Zea mays: one gene and its partner. Each later gene encodes a partner of the first gene's protein in a complex. Links are inferred from orthologs where the notes say so. Each region holds a gene or a part of one and is shown in the gene's direction. Other genes may lie near its edges.

Evidence for each region.
Region 2: structural maintenance of chromosomes protein 4 (region 1) and condensin complex subunit 2 share a complex: the UniProt entries of both Arabidopsis thaliana proteins name them as parts of the condensin complex. The link is inferred for Zea mays from reciprocal best matches to the Arabidopsis thaliana genes SMC3 and EMB2795.

The regions. Positions count from the first base shown.
Region 1 is NC_050101.1:167,828,615-167,832,434, forward strand, and holds part of structural maintenance of chromosomes protein 4, read left to right. Parts: intron 1-177; coding exon 178-308; intron 309-407; coding exon 408-486; intron 487-565; coding exon 566-723; intron 724-799; coding exon 800-875; intron 876-1,050; coding exon 1,051-1,179; intron 1,180-1,263; coding exon 1,264-1,408; intron 1,409-1,483; coding exon 1,484-1,614; intron 1,615-1,871; coding exon 1,872-2,024; intron 2,025-2,144; coding exon 2,145-2,334; intron 2,335-3,251; coding exon 3,252-3,391; intron 3,392-3,474; coding exon 3,475-3,633; intron 3,634-3,739; coding exon 3,740-3,820. UniProt on the Arabidopsis thaliana protein: Central component of the condensin complex, a complex required for conversion of interphase chromatin into mitotic-like condense chromosomes.
Region 2 is NC_050098.1:234,338,977-234,342,896, forward strand, and holds the start of condensin complex subunit 2, read left to right. Parts: upstream 1-1,483; 5' UTR 1,484-1,568; coding exon 1,569-1,853; intron 1,854-1,943; coding exon 1,944-2,045; intron 2,046-2,173; coding exon 2,174-2,291; intron 2,292-3,891; coding exon 3,892-3,920. UniProt on the Arabidopsis thaliana protein: Regulatory subunit of the condensin complex, a complex required for conversion of interphase chromatin into mitotic-like condense chromosomes.

The DNA.
Region 1 (3,820 bases):
TGGATAAGACAAACAATTAAAGTGTAATTTGTAGGTTCTTGAGATTTGGTTCCATCACTTGCATCTCCACTTATCTCTCATAGCTTCTTTGTTTGAGCCTGCATGAATTTATTGTGCAGTTTCAATTATGTTTTCTACTTTTACAATTGCATAACTTCTGAAGTGGGCACTATACAGGGTGAGGTTGAGCAAATCTCCCTAATGAAACCAAAGGCTCAAGGTCCACATGATGAAGGTTTTCTAGAGTATCTTGAAGACATAATAGGGACAAACCAGTATGTTGAAAAAATTGAAGAAGCGTACAAGCAGTGAGTTTCTGACATAATTTTTAATGCATGCTGTTATAACTAGTGCTTTGTATATATTTAGCAACGATTTAGTTTCTTACCTTGTTATGGATCTGTTAGACTCGAATTGCTCAATGAAAAGAGAACAGCATCAGTGCAGATGCTAAAATTAGCTGAGAAAGAAAGAGACAGTTTAGAGGTGATCATCTAATTGTTTATGATTTCACTATTTGACCATTTAACAGTTAAGCACTATTAATGGAGTTATTTTTCTGTAGAGTGCAAAAAATGAGGCTGAAACATACATGCTGAAGGAACTTTTGCTTCTGAAATGGCAAGAAAAGGCAACGAAGCTGGCTTCTGATGATGCTATCTCACGTGTTAATCAGTGTCAGGAGAATGTGGCAGACCTGGAAAAGAATCTTGCCGCTGAAAGGTTATTTGTTACAGATGGACAGTGTCCCCCCTCCCATTTACATGTTTTCTGAGTAAGCATATTCACTATTATACAGGGAGAAGATACACCAGAATTCACAAACTCTGAAGGAAATGGAGGCTATTTACAGTAAACATGTCAAAAGGCAAGAGGTATTGTTTCAACTTACCATATCTGTAACCTAATCAATCATTGAATTGAAGTCATTTATTTCCTATATTTGAAGGTTAGAAAACTCGTTATTTTCTATCACAAGGTTATTGCGAATGGGCCTTTTACAGTCAACTAATAGCGCCCTACTTTTATTTGCTTCTTTTATGTCTTTAGGACCTTGAAAATAACATGAAGAGCTGCAAAGACCAGTTTAAAGAGTTTGAGAGGAAAGACGTAAAATACAGGGAAGATCTAAAGCATCTTAAGCAGAACATCAAGAAGCTGGATGACAAAGCTGAAAAGGTAATACTGAAACGGTTTCAATTGTAACATTGAAATTAAAGTTGAAGCAAGACTGGCTATTGTTTCACCTACAATCTAACACAGGATACATCAAAACGTGATGAAAAAACAAAAGAGATGGAGGAGTCATCCAATCTCATTCCACAGCTGGAGGCAGAAATACCCAAATTGCAAAAGCGACTTAATGAAGAAGAGAAAGTCTTAGAGCAGATCAAAGCATCCTCTCGAGGTGATGTTAGCTTTTACTATCCATGTTCACCGAATCATTCTCTGATAACTGAACTTTATTCTTCTGTAATTACAGAAGAAACTGAGAGGTTTCGTGCTGAACTTACTCAAGTAAGAACTGAGCTTGAACCATGGGAAAATCAAATTATTGAACATAAAGGAAGGTTGGATGTTGCATCTGCGGAGAAAAAGTTAATGAAACAAAAGGTAGACTTTTTGGGAAACAAGAAGACTGCTGTCAAGTACTTCAATTCACTTTGAGTCCTTTAGATGGAGATATATGATGCACTGATCACAAGCAAAATATCTTCAATTCTTTATGTGCGATAGCTTACCATGCCTGACACTGACACTGCAAGCTTTGTATAATTAAATCTACTTATCCATTTAGTTTATTTGATAAACATTAATTTGATTTTTTTCAAACTTGTCAATTACGTTTGAAACTAGTTCCCTGATTTCAGCATGATGGAGCACAAGCAGAGTTAACTGATGCACAAAATCAGATGGAAAGTATAAAGGAGAAAGTTAAAACAAAGGATTCATACATTGTGGGGCTTCAAGAAAAAATAGAGAAGCATTTGAATGAAGCATCTGAAGCTCGCAAAATCGAACAGGTAAATTACTTCCAGCTTAATTTGAACAAAACCCATGCACTGGGTTCCCTTAAGTTTAGTCATTACTTACGTGCAGTATGCTGAGTCTCCTGAATGTATTGCTTGCAAAATTTGTTGCAGGAATGCCAAAAGCAGGAGGATTCACTGATCCCTCTGGAACAAGCAGCAAGGCAGAAAGTTGCAGAGATGAAAACCACTAGGGATTCTGAGAAGAACCAAAGTACTGCTCTGAAGGCAATTTTGCAAGCCAAGGAATCAAATGAAATACAAGGGATTTATGGCAGGCTTGGTGATCTTGGTGCAATTGATGGTAAGATATACTCCCTTTGCCCACAAAATCAAATATGTCCTGTGATATGTGTTGCCTAACTGTTATGTCTTCGGCAGCACATATTAAAGCCATGTTTGAATGCACTAGAGCTAATAGTTAGTTGCTAAAATTAGTTGAAGACATCCAAAGTTCCAAACAGTCTAGCTAATCGTTTAACTATTAACTATTTTTTAGCAAATTAGCTAATATTTAGCTAGATATTTATTAGCTAGCTAATTTCACTAGCTATTTTTTAGTCAACTAACTATTAGCTCTAGTTCATTCAAACACCCCTATGTTTAATAGGTGGATCTAACGGTTATAAACTGTTATGAATAATTTTTCTATATATAGTAATTTCGGTAACACTGAACTTCTCAAACAAGGAGAATATGGTACGAACTTAGCAAACTCGGCCAGGCTGATAGCCAAACCTGGTCAGGTTAGGAACCATAGTGGCAAAGCAGGCCAGGCCGTTCATCAAAGGCTAGGTCGTCAAGGTTGACTAGGCGGCCCCCAGAAGCTGACTAAGCCGACTTCGTGTTGCCAGTGCGGCTACAATGTCTGGCCCCCGAAACCTGGACTGGCCGACTTTCAAACTTACCTGACGGCCATTACAGCAGTAAGCCAGTAACCACACCAATAATCTAACAGACACAACACAAAGTCTAACAAGGACAAATACCTGCACTTTGTTTTGACCATGCCAAAACGGATTAGTATTTATGTAGTTTAATTCTTCCATTTTAGTATGTTCCGTTAGGGAGATTTTGTTTGTAAAGCCATGGCCACCAATATCTAAGCAATTGTTGTATCTGCTAGAATCCGCGAATGTCATTATGCAATCATACAGAGTTGATTGAAAGCTTGTATGAAGCATTTGTGGATCTTAATTTTTTAGAAACTCTGGTCTGCAGCAAAATATGACGTGGCCATATCAACATCAGCTTCATCTGGGCTTAATTATATTGTGGTTGAAACAATAAATTCGGCGCAAGCTTGTATTGAGTTGTTACGTAGAAGGAACCGTGAGGAAACTGTAACTTGTTTAATCCTGGTAACACTTTTTTTTTCTGTGCTTATTTGTTTTCATTTTTTTACCTGTTAATTTCATTTTGTAATTGGAACCTTATGTTACAGGAAAAACAAACACACCTCCTTCACAAAATTAAGGAGAAAGTAAAAACACCTGAAGGAGTTCCACGCCTTTTTGATCTAGTAAAGGTTAAAGATGAGAAGCTGAAGTTAGCCTTCTTCCATGTCTTGGGGAATACTGTTGTTGCAAATGATCTTGATCAGGTTGATCCTTGATTTGTTTGGTCTTAAACTTTTTCCTACTAACGTAGTTGCTTGTAGTTGTAATTTGTGCTGTGATTAATGGTATCTCAGCACCTGTCTTTGTCAGGCTTCACGAATTGCATACACTGCAGCAAAGGAGTTCCGTCGGGTAGTTACCCTCGGCGGTGAATTATTTGAGAAGTCTGGT
Region 2 (3,920 bases), on another chromosome or scaffold:
AGTTTCTTAACAAGTCCTTTAATAGACTTGATCAGTCCTCGGTGGATCTTGTCTTGAGTAATCACTACCGCCGGGGGAGGTTTCCCAATGTCCAAAAGAAATGTCCCTTCTGGTGGCGTGATGCGCTCTAAGCACTTCTAGTTTTTTGTTCCAATATCAAAGTTAAAGTGGCGGATGGTCGTTCGGTCCCCCTTTGGTTTGATAACTGGAGACATGATAGATTGGTTGACGCATTCGTGGAGCTTCTCTCATTTGCGGTGGTGGAGGAGGAGGCGATGGCGTCTATGACCACGACACTGGTGCAGGGTCAAAGGTCGCACCTTTGGCTGGTGGCTTTGGATTAGTGGTTTGAACGAGTGTAAATATGTAGAGGGCGAGGATGAGGAGTAAAGGGACACGACGCAGGACAACGCTCGCGCATGATCGAATGAGCAAGGGGGAGGGTGCACCCGATAGCGGTATAGATGTACAGAAAGCCTTTAGCATGAAAGCTCGACCCGAAGCATGTTTTTTGGCCCGATGCGAGCCCGGTTTGGCCTACTTTTATACGGGCCTGGGCCAGCCCGACATGAATAAGCGGGCCGGGCCCAGACAGGAAACTAAGCCCCACGGGCTAGCCCGACACGACTCGTTTACCTCTAAGTCCGTCAAGCCCTTTTTTTGCACTAAACCGTGCTTAGCAGCCCACTTAGCTTGTTTTCAGCCCGCTTTTTTCGTGCTTACCGACTCGGTCCGATCCGTTTAGGCCCGCAGTGGGCCAGACTCGGATAAGAAAACGAGCCAACATGTTTGGATGTTTTGGCCCGGTTTTCTAACCGTTTGGCTATATCTAGATAGTGGGGGCCGGGGGCGAGGGGAAGGGTGAGTTTGAAATGGGCAGGGTCTCAAGGAAGAGGAGCCACGGTTACACGTAGGCGTCAGCGCGAGTGGAAGGAGCAGTTGACGAAAGCTGTGCACAATTGAGTTGGAGGGACGTTTGACGCACAAAGAAATTCACAAAAGGAGTACAAAGGTAGTGTTTGGTTGAGGAGACAAGTAGAACAGAGCTGTTCGATCCCTGATTCTAGAACGGAGGCGCTCTGTTCTATGTTTGGTAAGCTGGAAAGGAACGACTCTATTTTTTGTTTGGTTGTAGAGTGAACTGGAACAGAGCGGCTCTATTTTTTGTTTGGTTGCAGAGGGAGGCGCGTGAGCTGCTGCGCACGGATGGGAGGGCGAGCTGTGTGAGCGAGCTGGAAACGGAGCAGCTCCGTCCCATTGATTTTTTGGAGTAGGATGGTTCTGAATCTAAGGAGAATATTCTTTAATTGGAGCTACTCCGTTCTAGTTACTTTGTAATCAAATAACAACAAAACTAGAACATAACCGTTCCGTTCTACTTGCTTTTCAACCAAAGCAACAGTACCCACCCCATCCCTGGCCCCGCTCCCGCACCGCAGCGCATCCGCCCCCAAAATTTGAAATCACGACTGGGAGGGATCCCGAACGACGGTCCAAAATTTTCCCTACCCAACCCCCTCTATCCATCCTGTCCCGTTCCGCTCCGCCGCCGCCGTCGACCGCACGAGATGCCGCCGGCCGAGGACGCCCCACCGCAGACCCCCCCTCCCGCGCGCTGGACGGCGGCCGGGTCGCGGGTGCTGCTGCAGTCTCCGCCTCCAGCGTTCCCGCTCGGATCCAATGACGACCAGCAAGAACGCGCCCGCGCCCGCGCGGCGGCGCGTGCCGCCTCCGTCCGCCGCCGATCCCTCGCCGCCTCCATTGCGCCCTCCAAGGACCCGCGCCACGACCTCCTCAACCGCGAGCAGGTCATGGACCTCTTCCATAACTGTATCAAGCTCGCATCGGAGAACGTAGGTGCCTAGCCCGCCTCCTAAACCTAGCCCGCTCCATTCCTCTCGCTAAGCTTCTTCGTTGCGTTCTTTCTGGGGAAATTTCGGCAGAAAATTAACCAGAAGAACACGTGGGAGCTAGGCCTAATCGATCATCTCAGCGAGATCATCCAAGCGGGGGTGGACGAGGACGAGGAGACCAACTTTCAGAAGGTACCGACCTGCAAAGATCTCCCATTTCCTCCTCTCTTTGTAGCCTTCTTAGTACAAATTTGTCTAGAGGGAGATTCGTCTACTGTATTTGAATTTGTTGGCAATAATGTGGTACTTTTATGGAACAGGCAAGCTGCACACTGGAGGCGGGGGTCAAGATATATTCACTTCGTGTGGATTCAGTGCACTCCGAGGCTTACAAGGTGCTTGGTGGGATAAACCGTGCCGGAAGGGGTGAAGAGGCTGGTGAGGGTGCACTGGAATTTTAATGGATTCTGATGTGTACCACTTTGATTGCAGTTTTACTTCTTTATTAGGGAGCTGTATCCAGTGCAAATTACATGCTCTTATGCCGAGTATGGCTGAATTGCTCGAGTTACAAATTCAAAAAGAATGACCTATACATGATAGGTTCATGATTTTGCTGGAAATCTATGCTGCTTCATTATGGTCTTCTGGTTTGGTGCTTGACGAAAAAGATTTGGAGAAAGGAAAAAAACTGCACTTTTTTTTTTGCTTTTTGTCTTCATCCAGTGCAAATTGGTCTATGCTGGGTATCACTAAACTTGAGTTAAAAACTCTAAAGTAAGGGGGTGTTTGTTTGGGATTATAATCTCAAACACCCCTAAGTTGGCATGCAGTGTGGTTTTATGAGTTAATGGAAAGGTCACTGTTCTAAGGGCCTGTTTGGAAGCACCCAGTTTTTAGAAACTGGTTTATGAAACCGGAGTACTTCCAAACAATACTAGTTCATGTCCTAGTTTCTAGTTTATAGAAACTGGATTCCTAGTTTCTTAAAAACCAAGAAGCCTGCATCCCCTAGCTAAAACCAAATTTTGTCTGTTTAATAACATTATTCCCTTGTTTATTTCATGGAATTTACATCTATTGCCACCACTTTTTAAAATAGAGGAAGGTTAGGCTAGTCAATGCATATGCAAAAAACTAGAAACTGGTTTCTTAGAAACCGGGTTCCAAACACCCTCACCCAATTTTTATTTAAAAACGAGTTTATAGCAAATGGTTTCTTAAAAACCGACATGCTTCCAAACAGGCACTAACTTGATTGGAAGATTAAATATGTTTTAAAACCTTTTCATTGTTACCCATGTTAGAACTGTCCTGTTTTTTGGTATTCCTTGGGTGAAATTGATCAACTTACATTGATATGTTACACAGCTTTACACAACCTGTGCACTCACAGATTATGAACCTTCTGCAAAACACTGTTTATGAAATTGGGAACATTTGCTGTTTTCTTACTGTTTTTGTGCTTAAAATTTGAGAAGCACTGTTTTGCACTTTGGGATGGCACTGTGGCAGTTTTGGGTCAGTGCTCTGCATGATTTTGGGTCCAGTGGATTCGGGTTTAGGGACCCAAATTTTATTGGGTTTGGTTTCCACCCGCGGATGTATAATGGAGGTCCAAAATAGTACATTTTAAGTAAAAACTCATTTGTTTTGTTAATAATTTGTTTATGTAAGCTATTAAGTTTATTCTAAGTTGAGTCATGAAATTATTTGTTCTTTATTGCCTTTTGCTTATATATGTGAATATGTAATATGTATCATGCATGAGTTACTAGAAATTCCTTAATGTCTTTTGTATATTGCTATATAGTGGTGGTTTTTGGTTTTTTTGGATCCACTGGGTTTGGTTTTGGGTTTGGATTATCACCTGAAACGGTGTTTGGGGTGGTTTTGGGTTCTGGGTTCAAGTCCACAGTCTCCACCTGATCCAAATCCACCTTGCCATCCCTATTTGCACTCCTGTTTTACAGTATTATCCTTAGATAATGTAATGCTGTTTCATGATGATGCTCTGAGTTGGTTGTTGCCATTAAAGATTTGGAGGAAGGCAGCAATGTTGAACCT